3 linked regions of the Rhinolophus ferrumequinum genome follow. The protein of the gene in region 1 interacts with the protein of each later gene in a biochemical or structural test. Links are inferred from orthologs where the notes say so. Each region holds a gene or a part of one and is shown in the gene's direction. Other genes may lie near its edges.

Region 1 (8,458 bases):
TGTTCTTGTGTTTTGTAATTATTTGTTACATAAAATTTCTTGTACCATAATGTATTAAAAAATAAATGCTAAATTTCCATTATAATACAAAAACTACCTAAATGTAAACAAATAAAAATTTGAATTAAAAAATTAAAACGAAAGATTTTTCCCCCTGAAAGTTTGGACCAAAAACGTGGGTGCCCATTATGCACGGGAGCGCATTCAGTATACGTGGCAAAATATGGTATATTAAATATCAATAATGAAGACTATTCAAAAAGCCCTAGTATGTTTAATTTTAAAGTGAAGGAAAAAAAAGACAATATGAGGCAATGACATTTAAAACAAATTAAACACAAAAGCTTTTTAGGCAAATGTGAAGTGGCACCTGTTCCTCAGTATTGCCCCAAACGTGAGACTGTCGTCAGCAGAGATGATAGAAAACTTGGTAGTTTTACTTAAAGTTGGAACTAACCAGCTTCTGACCCTAGTCTTTTACTGCTTAAATAAAAACATGGACCGCTGGTTATTACTAATAACTTCAGTCACAACTGATTTCCTGTCACTGGTCATGGAATCTTTTTAGTCTTTTTAAAAAACAAAACAGATTTTTGTTAAGTTGCCATATGAACAAATTAGAGAAAATACTACCAAACAAAAATAGTTAACAATTATGCGGTGTTTATTATAATGTTCCAGGCACTGTTCAAAAGCATTTTACGTATATTAACACATTTAATCGTCAGAGCTACTCTTGAGTTGGGTGTTACCATTATCCCCATTTTATTGATGGAAATTAAGACACAGTGGCCATTAACCTGAGGTCACGTACACAAGCTCGACTTGCCAAGTGTGCAAATATGCTTATAATATATTTCTAAAGGAAATAATTTGCTGCTGCTTTTGTGATCCCTGTTGAAGTAACTTCAAAAAGTAACGGTGACGGCAGGCATTTGGTTAACTATGATGTGGTGGGTTAACCTCAAAATAGAAAATTTGGTCAATGAGAATTTTTATTTTGGAGTCAGAGCTATGTTGGGAACCTGCTGCCGGAAAGGATTTCCCTGGGACAGCAGATCCCTTAGTTCTAGTGAAGAGCTGCGTCATCAGCACAGCTTCTCCTGCCCATGCTGGGGCTCGCAGCGGGCTAATCGAGCCCAGCTTATTCACCCTTCTCTGTTTTCCTTCCAGCTAGCCACTGTGCAGCCTGGCCGGAATTTCCACATGTTCACAAAGGAAGAACTTGAAGAGGTTATCAAGGACATTTAAAGAAGTGTGATCCTCAGAGCTTCTGTGGGACAATTTCAGTTCTCCTAATTGCCCTTTACTTTTATTTCCAGCTCCTATTCCTTGGAAAATCTCCATTATATGTGCATTTTTTTATGATGTCTGTACATAAAGACAGTTCTGAAATAAAGAAAAATTTAAAATATTTGTTAATAGACTATTCTAATGCAGTCTTTTATTCACAATGCTTCTGTTAGAGGGCAAAAGGGCTGGAATAGTTGTATTCATATCCCTACCCTCTCAGAGTATCTATTCTAAAATGGTTTTAGCGGCTTGCTACAACAATCAACTATATCATTACATTAGTCCCTGGGTATTGGCAATGAACTTAAGCTAATCCAGCTCCTCCCAGTGGTTTAAGATATTAATACCACTGTAAACCTATTCCAGACCTATAGTCAGTCTTCAGTAAATAGGCATTTTTCTGCTTTCCTTATATGAAAGAGATACTACTAATTAACCATCAAAAGAACATGATTTGAAGTCCTCCCCAAACACTGATGGCTTGGAGTAAGCTAGCTACAGTGCTATATCAGTGTCTTAACAAACAATTTGGAAAGATATATATATACATATAGATATATATATATATATTTATTATTATTATTTTTAATGAAGTTAAGGACAATAAAAGAATTGAATTCATGATCTTACCTCACTGGCAATCAATTACAAATGAGTAACGGAATGGTATAATTCAGAACTAGTTGACATCACACTTTGGAATGTACTATGAATTCCCTCCATTAGAGCTGCCGTCATGCAGTTGGTTGGGAATGGCCGTATAAAGTAGATACTTTTATCATACTTAGCAGATGAAGAATCTAAGGCTGTTTGTCTATGGACACAGAAAATTAAGCTGTTGGGAAGTGAACTCGGATTTTCTGGTTTCAGATCAACTCTTGATTTTACAATGCCATGTCCCTTGAAGCCTAGACACCTACTGAGTAAATACTCATTGAGATTTGAAATGTACTTACACTATCCACAACATGACTAATCCACATTTGGATAATGGAGAGTTGATTGTATATTCATTAACATTTGTAGGAAATTGTATTCGAAATCAAAATGATTTAAGTAGGCTGAATTCATATTACACTCATACTGTATGTCCAGCAGAAAACAACTGCTGGTCACCAATGTTCTAGGGACTAACTTCTAGTGATTTGAACCCTGTTACTAAATACTGTGTTTCCCCGAAAATAAGACCTAGCCGGACATCAGCTCTAATGCGTCTTTTGGAGCAAAAATTTGTATAAGACCCGGTTTTATATAACCGGGTCTTACAATAAGACTGGGTCTTTTTTTTTTTTTTTTTTTTTTTTTTTTTTTAAGACCGGGTCTTACATTAATTTTTGCTCCAAAAGATGCATTAGAGCTGACTGTCCGGCTAGGTCTCATTTTCAGGGAAACGCCGTATAACATGATGATGATGAGATTAGTTTCTCTCATGTTCACCTATTATCAAATCTTAATAGAAAATGCCATTGAAAAAATACTATCTCAATTTCCACTTATTCAAATTTAACAAGCTTATTGAGTACCTACCTACTATATGCCAAGTAACATACTAGACACTGGGGACAGACTTGTGTAAATAGTAGATACGGTCTGTGCTTCTATGAAGCTTCTGAGGGTGAACTAGACAGTATTCCCTTTAACTCAGCGTAGGTTAATGCGGAAATGGACAAAACATGCTGCTTTAGGGAGAGGTGAGAACTGTGTCTCTGAATTACGTATATTGTGTGGGGAAACCAAATACTAAGTAATAGTTCTTGGCGTATGTCTCTTAGCTTCAGCTTGTACTGTTTTCTCTCTCACTGCCTGGGCAGTGTATTCATACCTTACAAAAAAACTGCTGAAACAGTAAATTTCATACCCTCTAATTCTAATTTTAGAATTCTTGAAAAGATAGAATTAGAGCCTTCTTGAAAGAAAACTTTGGTTTACTGTAGAATTTTAAAACTTGCTACAAGATTTGTTCTTGGGCCCAATTGAAACAGAAATCATCTTACTAGGAAAAGAATGGCTCTGTGATGTCTAACTGCTTTTCTGCTACAGAATTTATCTTGGAGAACAGTATGGTTTTTAGTAATAAGATAACTTGACATACTTTAGTTCTGCAAGTCAGGTAACATCTTATGTGCAGTGTTTTCACAAGAGATCTGGCAGCAGTGCAACTTTTGTATTTAGTACCTACCCGTGTCACTAGACTGAAATACTAAAACCGTTTATGTACTCAAACATTGTCTCAGTGCCAAATGCAAGGTATCATGTCCCCAGCAACTGATAACAGTTTGAGGAAGGAAATATGTATTCTGTAAGCATATAATGATAACTAAAAGCAATATATTAAAAAGTGAAGGTAACAGATAATTGCAACTATTTAATACTGTGTTAAAAATATGTAGTAGTTTCTCCAGGAGATGTCACTGTTGAGTTGGGTTTTTTCTTTTCAGACAGTAAGACAATAGACCATTCATCTTTGTGTCACCGAACAAAGAAATATTCCTGCATCGTCCCTCTTCTCTTACCCCCCCCCCCATCACATGCTACTGGAACTGACTGTCTTGTGATCTACTCCATAGTTGGATAAACTAAAAAATAATCTGTATTTTAAAAAATAATCTGACAATGGTGGTTAATAGAAAGGAACAAATTGTTTACTAGTTTTCATGGAGTTTATCTTGTCATTTCAGTAGCTGAGAACTTGGAAGACTATTCTCATGATTTTTCCCATCCTGCTATTCAAAAGTATTTTTCACTTCTGTTTTACTATGGTTGTCCTGGAAAAAATGCAAATTTATAAAAATCTTTTTGTTTGCAAATTAATGTGACTAGAAGAATTTGACTATTGAGTGAGGTGCAGTGCACCATTTTGCTCTACAATTACATATTTTTATTTGTGCTTACCCGCAGTTTATAGTTAAAAGTAATTTTTAGTTTGCTTTATTTGGGAGTAACGTTTTGCACACTTTGTATCTTTCTATTTGCTACATTTTCTAACAACTAACATTCTGAAGGGATGGGATTAGTTAAGATCCAGAACTGGTTTTACCTGCACTGCATGTTCTAGAAGTTATGTGTGCAGTTTCTGAGTTAAAGGGAAAAGCCTAGAGGTTTTGTTTTATTTATTGGATGTGGGATACTAATTTAGGGGACATCATATACTGAAAACCACACTTGTGCAAATGCAAGGTTCAGGCACTTTCGTAGAGATAAATATGTATCTATGAAAAGATCATATCTGAAGCAGTCATTGGGCAATCGTCTTGCCCGCTTTGACCTGCCCTTAACGTCCAAGCTACTTTCTACCTCCAGGAAAACCAATAAGCAACCCCATCTTTGGCCTAACTCCCTACAGAGGAAGGTGAATGAGGCCATAGGTGGTGGAGAGACTTTTCTTACAGCTTGCATGAGTCACGGATATCCTGATGTCTGTTTTCTCCGTAGGATTTAGCCCACACAATTCGCATTCACCTTTCTGGCAGCAAGGCGGCTGCTTCAGTAGACAATGGGCGCTCCAGTGCGCGGAGCTTAAAACCTGAAGCACCGGTTCATGACGAAGCCCCCCTTTTCCAGCTGGGCGAGCTCAGGGATTCCCTGAGATTATCCCGGCGCTGCCGCAACCCAAAGAATTTGGGGGGGGGGGTTAGGCGGTCTCTGGGGGAAAGACTAAACCAGCCCCGACTTGAGGGTGCCCCTGGGAGCCGCGAGGGTTCTGGGCGCCATGGAGCGGGGAGCTTCGCGGGAAGAGGGAAAAGCTCCTACCAACTCTGCAAGCTCGGCCCTGGAGACGCGGGCGAGGCGGGGGATGACCTCAGCCGTCTCTGCCACGTTCCAGCCAATCAGTCCCGCATCTTGGCATCCGAATCCAGGACCCCCGAAGCCGGAGGCGACGCGAGCCAATGAGGAGCGGGCCGGGGAAGAAGGACAGGCCGCCGGCCTATGGGGGTGGAGAGGCCCGGCTGCGCGTATCCAAGGAGCGCCGGACTGGGCTCGGGGGTGTGGCGCGGCGCCGGCGGGGGTGGGCGGGCGCGCCGGGCGGCAGGTGTCGGCGGCGTAGGCATTCGGCGGCGATGGAGCGGCCCGGGGCAGCTGCGGACGGCCTGTCGCGCCGGCCCCACGGCCTCGGTCTCCTCCTCCTCCTCCCGCTGCTACCACTGGCGACACTCGGCCAGGACCGGCTGGACGCGCCGCCGCCGCCCGCTGCGCCGCTGTCGCACTGGCCCGGCCCCGTCGGGGTGAGCTGGGGGCTGCGCGCGGCCGCGCCCGGGGGCCTGTTTCCCCGCGGCGGCCGTTGGCGCCGCAGCGCGCCCGAAGAGGACGAGGAAGAGGGCTGCGACCGGGTCCCGGACTTCGTCGCCAGGCTGGGCAACAACACGCACCAGGTGAGCGGGCGCCGGGCCCTGGCGCCGCCCGGACTGCGAGGGGCCGCCCCCGGCGCCCCCGCGGCCGCCCGCCCCGCCCGCGCGCCTCCTGTCCCCGCCGAGGGGACCCCGGCAGTTCGCCGCCCGCCGCGCCCCCCAGGGCCGCGGCCCCGAAACTGCGGCGGGCGGAGTCCGGCCCGGGGAGCGGCCCTTTGGTCACAGGGGAGGCCGGTTTAGCCTTTCACGGCGTTCCTTTTTTCAAGTTGTCAAAATCTCTTGAGCGTCGTTGTTTTCCGTCTGTATAAATAATCGCGACCCAGTAACGCTGTACCTCACCGGGAAGGTGAGGAATAGTCATCGCTGAATTGTTTGCACAGGTTGGGCTGCGCAAAAGCAAAGGTGTGTTCTCTGGGTCAGTGCTTTCAGGGTGGGAGGGGGCTGTTAATTCCCAACGCAGTTGTTCGGTTACTGTGTGTTCGCACAGGTAAAGGAACAAGCGTGGAAGTGGGATGGCAGTATATATGTTATCTCTCTTTAAAACGCCTTCAGTTTGACCTTCTATGGTGTCATCGGACTTTGACCAGGAAGTCTGTGTCCTGTAACAAGGTTTCCAACTGTTAAGAAACACACTGCAGACACTCTGCTTTGAGCGAGGTCCTAGTCGGAAACTTTTAAAATTGCTGCAGTTCCATCCCTGGAGACAAGCAGCTCAACCTTTGGGCACCACTGGATTGACAAAGCCAGCAGACAGGAGTGTGTCCTGGCTCCTGGATCCAGTGCAGCTGGAGCATCTTCCTCGTCTTTTTTCTAGAACTAACGATTTAATTATCGCTACCCACATTTGCATAACTAATTTTCAATGTAATATATTTTCTCTGTTATATCCCTTTCTCTTGCGAAGAGTTGCACCTGGGGACAGAGATGAGTGGCTAACTGCACTTGTCCTTCAATAGCCACATTCGCATCAGGGAATCTCAGTCTCCCCTTGAACTATCTTTCTCCCTCTGCTGGGACTGACTATACCTGTTACCTGTGCAGAATTCTCACATGTGGGAGCCAGGTCAATTGCAATCAAGGCACAAGCAGGGATAACCCCACTTAATGCAGTCCAAGCAGCCGCTGCTTCAAGGTGGCTGAGGTAGTGCTGGCGGGTGGGACAGGTTGGGTGCAGGTAGGGTGGTAGGAGTACTGGCAAGTCTTCCTGTTTGACGAAGGGAGAAATAAATCTTGTAGACTTCCACCTCACAGTGGGGAGTTGAGAAAGGCTTTGCGATACTGATGCTTAATTTATAACAGGACTACTTCCTTCCTTGAGCCAGCTGGACACAGCATTCTTACCCCATATTTCAGATTCCTCTCTTCCTGGTTGACATTCCCTTAGGATCTGATGCTGCTTCTGGATTCATTCCTGTGATTGAGTCTTCCCTGGTTAGTTTGCGTTCCCTGGTTAGTTTGCGTTGATATGTCGTTTGCAATATACTGATTTCTATAGCAAGGTGGTTGATAAAACTGGCTCAAGGGGTTCTTAGGCCAAATCTACTCAAGAGCATATCTGAAACCTTATTCTTTGAAGTCCATTTGTAAAGAAACTTGCCCCGTTTTGTTTCATCTTATTTAGGTATTGTTCCCAATGATTTTTTTAGCTTATTATTTTTTCAGTGTTCTTCCAGTGACATAATTTTAAGTCACTACTTTTGCATTTGTTAATCAATCACGGTCTCATCTTCAGAGATCCCATCCTTTTTGGAACATGCAGATGTGGTTAAAGAGCAGCTGTTGTTAACTATCTTCATCTTAGAAGTGGTCGAGTAAAGTGGTGGTTCGAGTGGACCGCCACCTTAACCCAGAGTTGTCACGTAGTCGTCTGTTCTGCTTTTCAGTTATGTGTTTTTAAAAGTCATAATAAATCATTCTGAACTATACTGAAGATATCTAATATTTTAGGACCCTTTGTAAACAGTGTGAAATGAAATACCAGCATGACAGAACCACTTTCTATTGGCAATATTGTATACGTTTGTACAGCTGGGAACGTGCCATTTAGAGGAGTTTTTTGTAAGGATTTACTTCGCAGGAAAAATCCAAAGTTCTTGGTTCTCTTCTTACTTGTTATAACTTGCTGTCCATGTCAAGTCACATTGATTCATCATGTATGTGAATACCCACCCTCCAGATGCTGGGATGCCAGGACACAAAGAAAAGGTAACTCAGACTGGAGAATGAAAAGCCTCAGAAGGTTTTAGCCAATCTCCTAGACCTGTTTCTATGGCTTCTGTGGCTTGTGAAAACTTATTGGCATTTAACTAACCTTAAGAAAGCAGAAGTAGAACTAAAAGCATGATAGTGCTTTTATGTTCCTCTGGTGTAAGGAGACCTGTGCCCTAATGACTTATAATTCAGGATCCTTCACTCATGAAATCCAACAGTGTACATATATACTTATAAATGCTCTTTTCTTACACTCAATAAATAACCTTCCTTTTGCCTTTTACCCCAAACTGTTTCATGCCACACTTTTAACTGATTCTTTCCTTTCAGTGTTTTCCTTCATGCCATGTATAACCTTTGTACATGAGAGGAATTGAGCAAGCCTAGAAGATTTTATTAATGTTGGTTGCTAAGTTGGATTGCTTCAAAACATTCCTCCTATAAGCACCCCTTTGAGGTTAGGCATGAAACTCTGTCTTAAAGAAACAGATGAAATGCTTTGGCCAGAGTTACGGCGGTGGCTGACATAATTTCCTTACTTCTCATTCCTGTGTTCAGACCATTTGACGATTTCCTTAAAACTTTTAAAATTTATGATTAATGAAGCT
Region 2 (7,629 bases), on another chromosome or scaffold:
CATCTTATGAGTTAGGTAGATAATCTTAGACTTATTTTTACAGATAAGAGGGCTTAAGGCCTTTTGTTAAAGCCTCATGCATCCAGTATGAGAAGAGATACAATTACTGGATTCAGACCAAGACTGGTATCTATAGATACCTGTAAGTATTTTATAGGGAAGTTAAAAAACAAACAAATAAAAAAGCCATCAACCCTGTTGGCAGGCAATGAGAGGAGTTTGCATATTATTCTCCTCAGTTTTCTCTCTGTGGTTCTTCATGAAATTGATCTGAAATGCAAGACACCTTGTCTCAAGGTATCCAAGGGGATCCAAGTATTTGGAGAGCTATTAAAAGACATTGTTCTAATGATGAGACATATAATGTGATTTAGGTTGCCAAGGCCAAGCTATCCATCAGCTATGGAGAGAACAAGGAAAAGGGGGAAAAGGAAATCCAATGTGACAGCTACTGTAGTTCGTGCAATAAGGTTATGTGTGTAGTAAATACATCACTTTCTTTAACATTACCCCCCCACACACACACACCCTCTCCCAAATAAAAGCAAACATAAATTGGAGAATACAAATTTTCCCTTTAGCCTAAACAAACTTGCTTACTTGTTTCCAAAATTGCTTGCTCTACATTTCTGAAAATGATTGTAATTATAGTGCCTGGCACATAGTAAATCATCAATAAACATTATCTGTTATTAGTTGGATTTGGAATAGAAATAGTATTGCATAAAGTCAAGAACACATTAGGAATGAGATGCCTGGATGGAAGCCTTGCCTCTTGCACTAAATTGCCATATGACACTCGGTATTTGTTTAATGTGATCTGTAAAGTGGTACTTTATGATTCAATGATAGTACTCAGCTGAGAAAAATTTTGTAAAAAAGAACACCCAAAAAACGAATGAGTTGCTTCGTGTAAAACCTTAGCTCAGTTCCTGGCATATGTACAGGTCTGATTTACCAAGCGTTTACTACTAGAAGTTATGCAGGTAGGGTTGCTACCCCAGTGTTGCTCAGCCAGCCTATTGATGACTGAACACATCCAATGAGCCAGTGAAGGAGGCATTGGGGAAAGAACAGATGAATAAGGGAGACTCAGTTCTTATCCACATGTAGCTTTTGGGGGAGCATTAGCAAAAGAACATTCCAATAAAATCATTGATGGCTGTAATATATACTAAGAAATAACTAATAAGGGCCTGACACAAAATATCAGAGGGATTTCTTCTTGGGTAGACAGTCAGGGGAAGTCTAAGGAGGTATGTTTTAAGTGAAGGTCTCAAAGAAAAGTGGTCAGCTATGAGAAGTGGGGGTGGTGGTGGGCATTGCAGGAAGGTGGAACAGCAGTACCAAGGTCATGAGTCGGAAAACACTTGGCACATTGGGGGAAGGTATTGCCCAGAGTGGCTGGAGCATATGCATGAGGAGAGAGTGCTGCCAAATGTAACTGGCAACAGTCAAGACTCTGCTCATGCAGGCCTGATTGGCCATGGGAAGGAGTGGGGGTTTTATTCTGTTTGTAATGGTAGGTCAGGGAAGGGTTTTCAATAGTGGCAAGAAACGATTATTTGTCATATTTTTGAAAGACCGCTTTTGCTGCTTTGTAGGGTAAGGCATCTGAACTTTATTGATCATGCACACAAACCAGCATGTAGCTGGAAATGTTCACAAATACATGATTCTCTCTCTGTATCTCTTTCTCTTTACACGCACACACACACAACATATATATGTTGATCAGTAATTAAACATTAACAGGGCCATTATTTTCTTCCTGCACACCATGAATTATCTTGTGGTACCATTTGGGTACTTGTGTTCCACTTTGTAGAGATGAGCTGGAACAGAGCAATTAGGGAGTAGGGAGAGCTGTTAGGAAGCTGTTGTGCTAGTCTAGGTGAGAAACCATGGTAACTGGACTAAGGGGATGGCATATTTTTCATATGCACAATGCATAGACTCCATATTGAAATTACAGATCTATGCTCTCTACTGGCCTTTGATATCAACTATGTTCCTATGACTCATTCTTAATGCATTATATTAATAAAACCTGTTGCGTTGCTTAGTGGGTTGTTGGAATGAAAACACCTTGAAATAGACTAACCCTGTTTTCCCCATGATTAGCTTATTTCTTGAAATCCTCTGGAAAAAGATGATGGTTTAGGGACTTTCTGGTACTTTCTCTTTCTGCTTATTGATAAGACTCAATGGGGATCAGAGACATAAGAAATAAAATAGACATATAAAAAAATACCCAACACAACAATACTTGGAGCCAATTTCATCCATAGCTGTGTAACCTTTTTCTCAAATGAATAATTAAAATCAGGTAGTAGAAAAGTACCTGCCCTCTATGACTTTTCAGCGAATGGCCTGCAAATGCTTTCACTTTAAAGGGGTCATTGTAATAGGTATGTTTTAAAAGATGGGAGTTGTAAACTCTTTGGGGAAGAAAAATCAGTTTTACTTGTACCAGTTCTTCAGGAAGAACTTCATTTTGAAATCAAAACAATGTAAATTTTGCTAGGACAATAATGGATTAAGACCAGAACATTTGAATCCACTGTTTTTATTTATTTATTTATTTATTTTACTTTTTCCAGTCCTATATTTGGATGGGAATTTATTTAAGTTCTGACTCTTGAATCGGGTTTTCTTCTCTTGGAGGAATTCTCATGCACTTATCCAGACTGGAAGGGTTAGCAGGGCATAGAAAGAAGGCATTAGGCAAACGATCCTGCAAAACTCTGAAACCTTTCTGAGGAAAGGAAAATAGCTGTCTTGGGCTTTGACAAAGAGCACTTGCAATTTTGGGAGGAGGAGGGATCTCTGGCTCTCCTCTCCTCCCATCTAGAAGCCACAACCTGCCAGACACTGTTCCTTTTACAGGAGGATTCAGGCTTGGGTGGTAAAGGTGCTGTTGGAAGAGTAGTCTGTGTCTCCTTTTAAGACAAAGAGGACACTCTTTTATCCTTTTAAGTACACACATTTAAATGGCTGAGAAGCCTGCCTCTTTGCCTTGGCACATTTCTTGGATTGGTCATAAAACAATAATTTAAATTGATTTTTTGTAATTCAATTCTGAGTTGGATTGATATAAGAGAAATTTCTCCTGGACAGCATCAAAAAGAGGGTATCATTATTTGAAAAATAATTATCACTCTGTTACTTTCAAGTTGGTCCCATCACAAACTCAGAATTCAGATTTTTCAGTAAAGTTACTTATGCAAGTGTGAAAATGGACAAACATGTAATTAGAAACTGGAAATCGCACTATTTTGCTGTGGGGTTCATTTATTCAATCAGTAAGTAGTCATAGAATAATTTAACAGTTACCATGTGATAAGGAAGTGTTATTAGACACAGGGAGACTACAAAGAATGTGAAGGTATTTCAACTCTTAGAAGCAAACTTTCTATTTGAAAGAGGGTTGGATTTTGAGAAATTCTTTGTAATTTTCAAAGCCCATTCACCTCCTATAAATTTTTATCTGAACTTTTGAAGAGTAGCAGGGAGCTGGGCTGGGCGGACGTAATCATAGCATTACAGAATTTTAGGAATGGAAGGGATTTTAAAGATCATTTAATGCAACTAATTAATTGTAATGTGTAGGAAACTGAGAGATTGCTACTTGTCTGAGGTCCCACAGCAAACTAGTGACGGGGCACCCAGAACAGACTTGACGTTGGCTAATAATCTTAAGGCATTTGTTAGTAGTCCTGGGCTAGGCACACGGATAAACAGAGCACTGTGCCTCCTTTCTGGTATTTATTTGCCTATTCATAATAAATATTTATTGGATTAATGACTGACATATTTCTTACTGTACGGGACACTGTCAAGCACTGAGAATAAAGTGGCAAACAAAATAAACCGGTCACTTCTTTCAAGTTGCTCACGATTTGGTCAGCCTGATCTCACTGAGGTTGCAGTCTCTTAGGAAAACCAAGATACATGCCCACAAGATGCAGGAAGATTGAGTTCAAATACAGTGAGTGCTTTAGGAGGTCGGGAAAGGAATCTAAACTCCATCATTAATGGAAAAATCCCCCCCGCCCCCATCATTTAATTACATCATTCTCTGCTGTTGCCTTTCCGGGATCTCCCCCAAGCCCGGACACAGATTCTGCTCAAGGTAAGGTACCAACTCAAGGAGACTACGAAGGGAAAAATGAGGAGCCCAACCATCCCTATTTTCTAAACTGGAAAAGACCGTTGGACGGGGGAAGGAAGCAACAACAGAAACTGATACCAACCATAAAACAGGAATATTAAGTCCCCAACACAGTGACCACACTGCGAGCTCCGGGCTGGCCGACCCCACGGGAGGCGCGCGGGCTGATAGGGGAGCCGGCAGCGGCGGGGGCGCAGAGCGGGCGGCGGCGAGGAGCGGGCGGCGGCAGCGCCGCGAGCCCAAGGGGAGGGTCCGCGGCGCAGCCAGTCTCCACAGCCACCCGCGCACAGCGCAGCTAGCGAGCGGGACTCGGCACTCGGAGCCCCGGCAGCGCCCGCCCTCCCTTCCGCGTCGCCTGCCAGCGCGCCAGCGCCCGCTCCGCCCGTGACTTCAGTTCAGCTCCACCCCCGCGTGGCGGCGGCTAGCTCTGTCCGAACCCGCGCTCGGCACCAGCCCAGCCTGGGCAAGCGGCCGCCACCTGCCCGGCGCCGCCTCCACCCGCCCCAGAGCGGCCCAACTTGGATGGAGTTGGGGTCCTGAGCGCCTCTCCCCCACAGCCGGCCAGCGGAGAGCCCCGTGCCGCCACCTTCAGTCCGGGACCCCCTTTCCGTTCCTCTCCGCTCCTGCGATGGGAAAAGTTGGCGCCAGAGGTGGCTCCGCAGCCGGGCTGAGCGCGCTCCTCGCCGGCGCGGGGCTCTTGGTCCTCTGCGCCCCGGGCGCCTGCTGCGGCGGCTCCTGCTGCCTCCAGCTTCACCCCAGCTCGGCCCCACGTTGGGATCCGACCACAGGGGGCTTTTCTCATCAGGGGCCACCAGGCAGAGCTCCTGCCACGCCCCTGCCCCTCCGTGGGCGCCCTCTGTTCGCAGTGGCCCCCGGAGACCGAGCGCTGTCCCTGGAGCGGACCCCGGGCCCCGGAGCATCCGTGGCCGTTGCTCCACGCTCGGGCCGGAGGAAACGGAGTGGAGCGGATCAGAAGGCAGAACAAGGAGAGGGCGCGAGTAGGAACCCCCGGAGAGTGCTAAGGGACGAAGGGCAGCAGGAGCTTGGGACTCTGGAGCGGGACCCAGACAAAGCCACTCGCTTCCGGATGGAGGAGCTGAAACTGACCAGCACCACGTTCGCGCTGACAGGCGACTCAGCACACAACCAAGCTATGGTCCACTGGTCTGGCCACAACAGCAGCGTGAGTAGAATGGGACTGGGGGCAAAGGGGTGAAAGCTGGAAAGGGTTAAAGTTGGCTGTGTGATCTGATGGAAAATTTGAGGAAATGGGGTTTTTGGACTGGAAAGATGCTGCAAACTAAAGTCTTACTTGCTCACCTCCCCCAGGTTACCTCCTAGGAGACCACCCCCAGCCCCTCCCCAACAAAACTATCAGAGTCCCCTGCAAACCCCAAGCAAAGGTTTAAACATGGCAGACAAATCCCTATTTCCTCACTTCTTTGGTCGCATTGATGTAGTATGGATCTGAAGACCAGACAAACAGAGATGTTCAAGCATCCTGAATGTGGAGATGAAAGGGTTAAATTTCCAGGCAGACTGACATTCCCTCAACTGACTTTCCCTTTACTTGCTAGACTCATGGATGAGCACAAGTGATATCAATAAGATTTTATTTGAGGATTTTTATTTTATTTTTATTCAGAGCTCCTAGCCCCCTCTTCCCCACAAAGGAAGAGAACTGCAGTGGACGATAAGGTGCCCTTAATGTTGTCTCTGTTTTGGGGGACCAAGTGGATGCAAGTTTCAGGACAGGAACTCTCCAGCATCTTCTAACAGCACCAGCCAGTGTGTTTTGAGAGCTGGGGCTTTCCAGCCTGTGAATGAGTTGTTGTTTTCTGGCATGATCAGTCCCGGGAAGATCAGATATATCCCAGTGACAACAACTCCCTGTTCTCCCCCATTGCCTGACCTCCTCTAGAGAAGAGCACAAATCAAGTCTTAGCCTCCCTTTATGAAGGGAGAAGAGGCGTTGCTGGATTCCAGCAGGCTCCACACTGGGGAGAATGGATGCAAGTCCATGAGCTTTGGCCATGTCAGTAAAGGTTTTAGGTTTTTGGAAAAGCCTGCATGTCTGGAATCTGAGGTAGCTATTCCAGTTTAAACTGCACCTGGAAACTTCAATGAGCGGAAATAGTAAAAAGCCAGCTTTTGATGGTAAGAATTGAAGAGGATTTGGAAGTGCAGAAACTTCTCTAGGCTGCCGTTAAGCTGACAAGAACATAAAACCCAAGGATGGGTAAAATGAAAAAAATAAATCAAAGTTTCAACTTCCATCAGGTTATTGAGATTGTAGTATTTGTAATATGTACAGTCTCTGCAGCCTGGTACCTTTCAAACTGTTTTCAGTTGTGATGTAATTGCCAGAAACCTTCCCAGGGAAGTGCCACTTTAGTGAGACGTGCTCATTGTCAGCGTTTTTAATGACGGTTGTAAACATTTTAAAAAATAGTCTGTCATTATGGATTCCTTGGATACACACACATAAATTGTATTAAGGCAAATCATGATAAATAGTATTTTGTATTGATGTCTCTGTCTGAGAGTATCATCAGCGTTTTCCCTACAATTTAGCCTTCATGACTGAGGCTGTGATTTTATGTGGTTCTCAGGACCAGTTTAATCAAATAATGGAAGCTAAATTATTTCCATTCAAGTTCTGGAGACCGTTGCCCTCATTTCTTACCTTAACTATCATATCTTTCATATAGTAACCACTAAAATTGATCACGCAATTTGAACTTGAATCTTCCTAAACTAATTGAGTAACTTGCACTGCTTTAAGTGATGAGCTCGAAGCTTCTGGCTTTAAGGGGAGATTTTAAACACATCAGACATATTAGATCTTGTATCCAGAAGTAAAGGACTTTGGACTCAAAATATTTCTGGCTTTTAATGTAATTCAAGCTGTAAAATATCACTCACCCATTAGACCTCTACTTTAGTTCGTCTCTTGAAAGATCTTGGAAAGACCTAGAAAAGGAAAGTACATCTTTGGCAAATTTTAAACTCCATTTAAGAAATGGCGCCAAGCACTGCCAGACTTTTTTTTTTTTTTTAATGGTGTTTATAAGCCCAGTAGGGTCAGGACTTGGATGGGAGACATGCAGCGGATTCTGAGATAATATAGAAAATAATCAAGGTGGTGTGTGTTAAAGGTTTGAGCACTCAAATCATATTAACTAAGGAGATTCCCACTTAATAGTCTCTTACTTTGTAAGGACTCCTCCACCACCACCCCCACCCCGTCCATGCCTGCTTACACACAAATTGGTTTCTTTTTTGTGTACATGTACCGATGGTAAAGGGCGCGAAATAGTCTGTGTCCAGGTCCTCGAAAACAAAGCTGGCACACATTCATAGGCAAAACAAAGTTTTAAATATTTTTTAAAGGAAAGGGAAGCAGAAAGAAACTTTTTTTTTTTTTTTTTACATAACTTTATGACGTGAAAGGC
Region 3 (7,756 bases), about 4.3 Mb from region 1:
TCGCTCCCTTGAGGAACACCTAATACCTCCAAGAGGACTGGCATATTGCAGGGGCTCAGCCATCGTGTATTTAACACCATTCGTGATATCCTTGTAAGTAATTACCGTTATTATGGCTGCAAGAGGACAGCTCTTCCTCCCAAGGTCACACCACCTTAGCGGATAGATGGAGTAGGTGAGCTACATCTTTCTACTTCCAAGCAGTTGGCGTTCCTGGGCTGCGGTGCCCCCGCTGGAGAAGAGCTGAACTGCGCTGGGCCCAAGGAGATACCTGAGCTGTCCCAGGGCTGAGATCTAAGGGCTGCTGCCGGCTGAGCCACGACCAAGGGCTTTGGATGGAGGCCCTGAGGGTCGGAGGTGAGATGGCAGCACCGTCCTTGCTAGCACCCACGCAGGCCGCGGTCCGAAACAAGAACCCAGGTAGCACTTTGCACATATGAACTCTCCAACTGTTAGTGACTGAAGGAGCAGGTGTGGGGTCAGAGCTGAAGCGAGGGGATCAGTATGGTAGGAGGGATGGCCTGGGAGGCTGAGAGTGGAGAAGAATGTCGCGCCCCAGGACTGAGCCATGGGAGGCACAGGCATTCGAGGGCCGACGGAGAAATCAGAGCGGTAGATGGCAAACCAGGAAGAGCACAGTCACAGAAACTCGAAAGGAAAGTGTTCCATGCAGGAGGTCCTCGGGGAGGAGGCTGAGGACCGGCAAAGTCTGATGAACTGCGCGGAAAGAAGGAGAAGGTACGGTGTTTGACAGCCAGTGCTCCACTGGCGTGGTTCAAATCTCTACCGGCCATTTCATGGGCTATGAGTGACTTACGCTGAGCAAGAGACTTACCTCGTAGGGCTTCAGCTTCCTTATTAATAAGTGGGTGATACCTACTTATAGGGCCCATAAAAATGCCTTGCCCAGGACCCCAAAACAAGGAAAGCAGCCAATAAATGCTACGATTGTTCTGTTGGTGGCAGTGTTGTTATTGCAACTGGTGACCTTTAAGAAGAAAATATCAGGTCAGTGGGGAGAAGGGGTGGGGAGGGGAAGAAGATGGGAACCAGACCGCAGGAAGTTGAGAGGAGCCAAAGAACAGGTGGGTCACTTTGCTGAGGCATTTAGTGGTGCAAGAAGTTGCGAGTCCAGAGACTGGGTGTCAGGAGGGCTAGCAGTTTCCTTAGGAGAGACAGGCAAGTGAATGCAGACAAGCCAAAGGGAGATGGAGAAACTGAAGTTATCAGAGAGAGGGTGAAAGCCAGGAGCAGCTCCCGGGAGGAGGCAGGGATGGCCCCCAAGAGGAGGAGGGGAGCCCAGCCGTTGCCATCCCCAGTGTTCTCTGCACCCTGGTCTGTCTTTGCTCCTTTACCAGTCTCCCCACTAAGGCCAGGGCCCAGAGGTTTTTCCCTCAGCCTCTTTCAGAGAGTGTGAGAGAAAGCAGACTCGCCTAGAAATCAAGAGGCCTGAGTTCTGGCCTGACCCGGCCCATTTATACTCAGCTAAGACCCCGTCCTTCCTGAGCCCTGAGTCCTCCTCCATAACTGAGGTGGCTGGAGTGATGTTCTCGGTGATTCTGTAACCATGCCATCACACTAAGCATTATAAAACATTTCCTCTTCTAAAGGTGTTCTCCACTCTGATGAGAAAGAAGGGGGAAGCAAGTCTTTGAGCTGACGCTATCACTTCCTCCCGCAATTGGGACAATATTTCTGTTTGGCACATATTGCCAGCAGATCCAGCAATGCCATCCGTACTGGCAGATCTCGGCCGAGCCTCCTGGTGTTTTAAATAGCACATGTACTTTGCCTTGCCCTTCTGGGATGAAGCAAGAGAGAGGCAGGAGCTTTGTGCCAGGCTGAGTGTTGCTGTGGACGAGGCACTCAGTGGCTGCAAACTTCTGAATCCTCAGAAATAACAACAATTACTGTGCACACACTACACTCTCCTCCACGGCAGCAAATACATCAGCTGCTGGTTATTTTGATACCCGGGTGAAAAAGCTCTTTCGAGAAAATCTAGTACAAAAAAACATTCTTATCCTCTACTTGTCTGCACCATTCCTTCTGCCCGCTGCCCTCTCAGCTGCTTTCCATTCCTATAAATGTAACTGGTCCAGGCTTTAAAGTCCTTCTCTCAGTGACCCAGGAGAAGGAAGTGGAAGAGGCAAGAGAAGAAACGCTGACTATGGTCTCTGTGTCAAGGCCAGTCTGACCTGGAACCTACTGGAAACCAATTCAGTGTGGATGGGTGTTATCTGACAGCCGCAAATGTCTCTGACTGTTGTAGGATTCAACAAGCATTTACTGAGCACCTACTGTGTGCCAGACTCTGTGCTAGGACCTGGGGAGACTGTGATACACATGGCCGGGCCTAAAAATCCAGTCCCCATCAAAATGTGAATTCTCTGAGAACAGGTAGGTACCTCAGCCATCTCACAGCGCCTGGCAGGCACATAGTAGGCACTCATAATTAATCTTTGGAGTATTTGTTTGTTGCTTACACGTTCTTATTTACTCAAGATCCTTTAAGTTCAGGGACAGAAACAGAGCTAGACAAGGATGGAAAGGAGCTCTTATTAAACCAACATGTGCCATCAGAATATGATGAAGAATTGGGGGGGGTGGCATCTAGCCTTACATTCTGCTTACATCATTTTTACATTTCCCTCTTACACACCACATAAAACAAATAAACAAACAAACAAAACAAAACCACAAGTCCGCCAAATCCTTTTGTCCTTCTGGGTGACGCCACAAGAACACATGCAAAGGTTCTGCATGCAACTACCAAATTTGATTCTAAAATTTTCAACTTTATCCCTAACTTCTCAGGCAGCTATTTTGTAAAGGCTTAGGGCTGGTGCTTTCAAACAAGTTTATACACGACATGATTGATGAATGAATTTGCCCTATTGTATGGAAATTCCTTTGTTTAATTGACAACGATAAATGTCCTAATGGATAGCCCTGACTCTGGCGCTAAGTCTGCAGAAAAGGCCATCTATGGTGGGCCCAGCAGCTAGCACTCTCCTCCAAAGTGTGTTCATCCAACCTGTTTGTACAACTCAGAACAACTCAGAAGTGGACAAGCCCTCCCTGGGAGATGAAGAGGCCACACGAAGGCTAAAGCTGACTTCCAATTCTGGGGATTTCTTCCTACCTCATCCTTCTCACAGCAGACAGCTATGCAAAGCAGCAGGGCAAAGGTGAAAAGACCACCAAGTGGACACCTCAGGCCAATCTGTGTAAAGGGAGCTGGAAATGCCGAAGAAGGGCTTCAGCTCGCCAGTGCCTCCCCTGGGGCGCGGGGGTGGGGCAAAGGGCCACCCTTGGACTTAAAACAGGAACCCCTCCCTGTACCTCATTAAATCAGGGCGCCTGAATTGTGCTGGCATGTCTTCACCAACAAAGGGATTCAGTGCCCTCCCCTCCCGTGCCCCATCCCTTCCTCCCATGTGGCACCAGGGACAGGGTAGGGGCTCAGCAGACGGTTTACTCAGGGAAGAAGTGTAGACTGAGTTTAACACCAGGGAAAGTGGGTGTGAATTTTGAAAGACGTGTGAACCCCCAGAACATTATTATAATTAATGACGCACATTTGCTGAAAAATCTGGCTTCAGGGGTATTTCTGCTACCGTGGGGCTGAGGTGGGAAGGGCAGGCAAGCTTCCCTGTCAGCCTCTGAATCCATGGAACACAAGAAATGCTGGAGGGCCCGGCCAGCCAGGAGGTCACACCTCCCTTAAAGTCTGCAGCATGCGGATAAAGAGGAATTGGGGCAGGTCCTGGGGTGGCCAAGGAGTCTTGCTGTCTGGGTCAGTTTAGAGTCACAGATCCCTTGCAAAGCTGATAAAAGCTGCTGACCCTCTACCCAGAAAAATGCACGCAATGCACACAGATGTACAGATTTACCTACAATTTCAGGGACCCCAGGAAACTTCCAGAACTTAAGTTAAAGCCCTGAGTCCAGGTCCAGACGCCTAACGCCTCTGTCTCTGTCCCCACGCCAGACTTGCCCCTGCCCAGGGGCCTTCTAGATGGTTCTGGCTCTCAGAGCCGCAGCTCTGCCTCCTATCAGAGGAGCGCCAGCACCTGCGTCTTCCAGGGCTCCCCTGGGTGCTCGCTTCTTCAGGGGTGACAGGAAGCATCCCAGGCGAAAAGTTCCCTTGGCCTTTCTCTCTAGGCTGTGAGGGGCAGCCATGCCTAAAGCACGGGAGAGTCGTGCTGGGAGGACGGGGTGGGGACGGGGTGGGGTGGGGGGGGGTAGGGAAAGGGGACACAGATAGCGGTGCCCCAGAAAATCCCTGCCTGTGCTGGGCTCGCACAGTCCCTCCGACCTGTGTGGTTCCCTTTGACTTCTGGGGCTTTGAACCCTTCCCTGACTGGGGAGACTCAGCCCTCCTGGGAGCTGATCGCTAATCCCCAGGACCCCCGACAGCCGGGCACCTCAGTCCAGCACCAGCAGGTGTGGGCCTGGGGCGGGCCGTGCCCGGGGCAGACTGAAGTGAGGAGGAGTCCGGGAGGAGGGGCTAAGAATTCCAGAAGCCAGTGTTGAAGCCGTTCGGAGCTCCTGCACCGCAGAGTGCGCCGGGAGCCGGAGAGGAGCGCAGCGCTGGGTGAGTCCTGCAGCCTGGAGCGGAGCCCCGAGAGGGGCGCAGCGTGGGCAGGGGTGCTGGCGGGCGGGGAGGAGCTCCCGGGAGACAGTGCCTGGCTCCCAGCCTGGTAAGATCTCCGGGCACCCCCGAGGATCCCACGGGCTGAGGTGCAGTGGTGAGAGGAGTGTCCCGAGTGGGCGCAGGAGTGCGGGAGCCTTGGCAGGCGAGCCGGCGAGCAGGGGGAAGCAGCGCGCTCTCTGGTCTTGAAGTTCCCGGTCTCCCCGTGGCCCGAAGTCCCGGAGGCCACCCTGGCGCCTGCAGTAGTCCCGCGCGGTGCCAGACACTACTAGCTCGAGTGCTAGAAAGGGACAGCGCGCAAGTGAGGGAGAGCAGATGAGCGTGGAGAGAGGGATGCGCGGGCCAGAGGGTGGGCTGCACCGCGGAGGGCGAGAGCATCGCGCGCGAGGTCTGGGCTGTGCGCCTAGTCCGGAAAGTGCTACGCTGCCCCCCAGGTAAGGGGACCAGCGAGGCAGGGCACGCTGAATCTGATGCCAGGAATGGAGGCAGGGTCTTTGGGGTCTTCTCCTCATTGCTGGAGGGCTGAGAGTTCGAAATGAAGGCCCCCGGGGCTTAATGGAGGAACCTTGCACACCAAGAGACCTCCACGGATCCGGGTGGACCGAAGTCGCTGGGCTACTTGGGTCACACGCCTCACCGCCAGCTGTCTGCTGCCAGTTGTGGGAGAAGCTGGCGTGGAGGGCTGAGGTGGGCAGCGCCTTAGGTCCTGGAGGCAAAGACCCAGGGCAGAGAGGACTCAGGGGTGAGGGGACGGCACCTTTGAGCCAGCAGAAACCACAGAGGCTTTGCTCTGTTTGATTACAACTCTTCTTACTCTCTCAAAAAGAAAAAGAAAAAAAAAGAAATCCCTGAGATTCTCATGGAAGGTGTTTTCTGCTTGAACTTTCTCTTCTCTTGTGACTTGAGCGATTAAAAAAGAGCCTGCTTGCTAGGCTGGTTTTTCCAAGTTGTTCCAGGTTGGAAGTTGTAACTGTTTGAAGGATAATTTATGGGTGTTTCATGCATTAAAGTGCATTACAGCAAAGCCTTTGGGGTGCTGTGGGTATTAAGGAAAACTTCGTGCACGTTCCCAGCTGGAAACCAAAATAGTGCTCTCCTGGGTGTCTCTGCCCTGTCAATCATCTGAGGCTAGTGGAAATCCTGGAGTAAAGGCATTTGATTAATTATCCTGGCTCCATCCGCTGGGCGTACCCACTGCCAATTCCGGGCCCCTCCTCCCCCACATGCACAGCCAGTTGCATTCTGCAAACTCAGAAATGGTGGTGGAGGGCCTACCAATAACTTTTCTCCAGGGTCTTCAGACTCTTGAAGCTGTCAGTTAAGTCTGCCAGCAGGGAATATTTCTTGCGACGTGTTTACAGCTTCCTACCGAATGTCTGAAACTTTCTCCCTCTGCAGAGCCGCAGAGGAAAGTCTAGAAAGTCTGCATTAGACCTGCATGGGTCTCTTCTGTGGCATAAGTCATATATGTCAGCCTGGGCAACCCAAATGTCAATCCATGATGGGCAGTGTTCCAGAGGTTCAGAGGGCACCCAGGACTGGCGAGTGAGTGGTCTGGGGGCTGAAACCTGCCCTGCTGGCACTGACTCACAGAAGAAATCACTGTTCCTCCTACTTGGGTCATTGGAGGGCCCTGGGGCTAACTTCATGTGCTGCTAAACCTCTCCCCCTATCTCTCTCCAACATTTTTATGTAGGTGAAAAAACCGGCAGCCTTGAAGGGAAAAATGTTAGGAGTCACCACAAATGGGAAACTAAGGTCTCTGAGGCGCGGGGACACGTGTTTTGAAAGAACTGTAGGAGTGTCTCAGAGGATTTTGGAACCGGCTCTGGTGCCAGCCCTTCCCTGAGCCCAGGCCCACTAAGAGCATTTGGAAACTGGGTCCTCTCAGGGCAGTCATCCTACTATTGGTGACTTTCTGTATCCTTAGCCTTTCTCAAGGAGTGAGGGTCTCACCTTCTCCCACTGGCCACCCAGAGTACCAGAGGGAGGAGGTGCTAAAGCTTCACACTCCGCTTCTCTTATGTGGAGAAACCTGTGCCTTGGCCAGGAAGGGGGCCCCAGCTGCCGACATCAGCAGGGAGGGTAGGGCAGGGCAGGGCTGCAGCCCGAGGGAAGTTTCTCATCGTCACTGAGATTAAACGACTGAGAAAATCGCACAACTTCACTTTTAAATCAGTGCTGAGCAGACTTCTGCACATTCAAAGAGTGTCCAGTTGTAGTGGCAGCAGCTTTGGGACCACAGAGAAACTGCAAAGAACACATGGCTGCTGTTCTTCCCTGCTCTGCATGGAGCAGGGGCCAGGCCCGGGCCCCCAGGCACACATCACTGTCACACCAGGGACTAGAGGCCCAGCCATTTGTCTTCTCCCTATAAGGCCTCATAGAGACTTCGGGGTTCAGAGCAGGTGGGTCTTGGAGACCTTTGCTGGCAGCAAATACTTTCTGCTCTCAGGAGGCCGAGGAAGGCTTGCTGAAGATTCACTTAAAGTCTCTCAGCAAACAACTCATATCCCCAGAGGGTTTCTCTTTCTTTGGCCCCTCTGATCTTGCAAACCATCAGCTACACCATCAGCCCTCAGGCTTAGCCGTCCCGAGAAATCAACTCTGTGATGGACCAGTTTCACAGAACAGCATACGGGGCATCAGGCAAATACATGGAGATGGACGACCCTCCCCAACACATGCCCAGCGACCTGCTTCCTGACAGTGGGCACCCTCACTCTAAATAGCAGTAAAACCGGGATGGCCCTAAGGCAGAAATGCAGCTGGAGAAACTGAGGATTGGGGGTGACTGGCCTTTCCGTTGGGTGTACACAGGATTGTCACTGTTTGAGCCAAGGAGGAATAGCCCTTCAGACACAAAGTTTGGCCAAGACCAGATCATGAAAGCTTACAATAAAGAAGACATTCTCAGGCTTTGTGATGTTTTCATGGTTCCTCTGTGGGCTACTTGACATGTTTTTGAGGTGTCCCCAGGGACTGTTGGCCTCAGACTATGACACAGTCAGAATCAGATTGAAACGTTACGATGATCTCTTGACATTTTTCTCCAGTATTTTGGGTAAACTTCCGATGGTAGTTTCCCAAGCTCTGAGA

What was found.
Region 2: the proteins of SORT1 (region 1) and SORCS1 form a complex in vitro, tested with the Homo sapiens proteins (2 studies listed by BioGRID and IntAct, with this or other methods). The link is inferred for Rhinolophus ferrumequinum from reciprocal best matches to the Homo sapiens genes SORT1 and SORCS1.
Region 3: the proteins of SORT1 (region 1) and NGF form a complex in vitro, tested with the Homo sapiens proteins (3 studies listed by BioGRID and IntAct, with this or other methods). The link is inferred for Rhinolophus ferrumequinum from reciprocal best matches to the Homo sapiens genes SORT1 and NGF.

What each region holds. Positions count from the first base shown.
Region 1 is NC_046305.1:41,583,194-41,591,651, reverse strand, and holds the start of SORT1 (sortilin), read left to right. Parts: upstream 1-5,307; 5' UTR 5,308-5,351; coding exon 5,352-5,663; intron 5,664-8,458. Other genes in the region: PSMA5 (proteasome subunit alpha type-5), read left to right, coding at 1,174-1,251.
Region 2 is NC_046299.1:18,856,434-18,864,062, forward strand, and holds the start of SORCS1 (VPS10 domain-containing receptor SorCS1), read left to right. Parts: upstream 1-4,474; 5' UTR 4,475-4,802; coding exon 4,803-5,357; intron 5,358-7,629.
Region 3 is NC_046305.1:45,834,612-45,842,367, reverse strand, and holds the start of NGF (beta-nerve growth factor), read left to right. Parts: upstream 1-4,542; 5' UTR 4,543-4,600; intron 4,601-7,756. UniProt on the Homo sapiens protein: Nerve growth factor is important for the development and maintenance of the sympathetic and sensory nervous systems.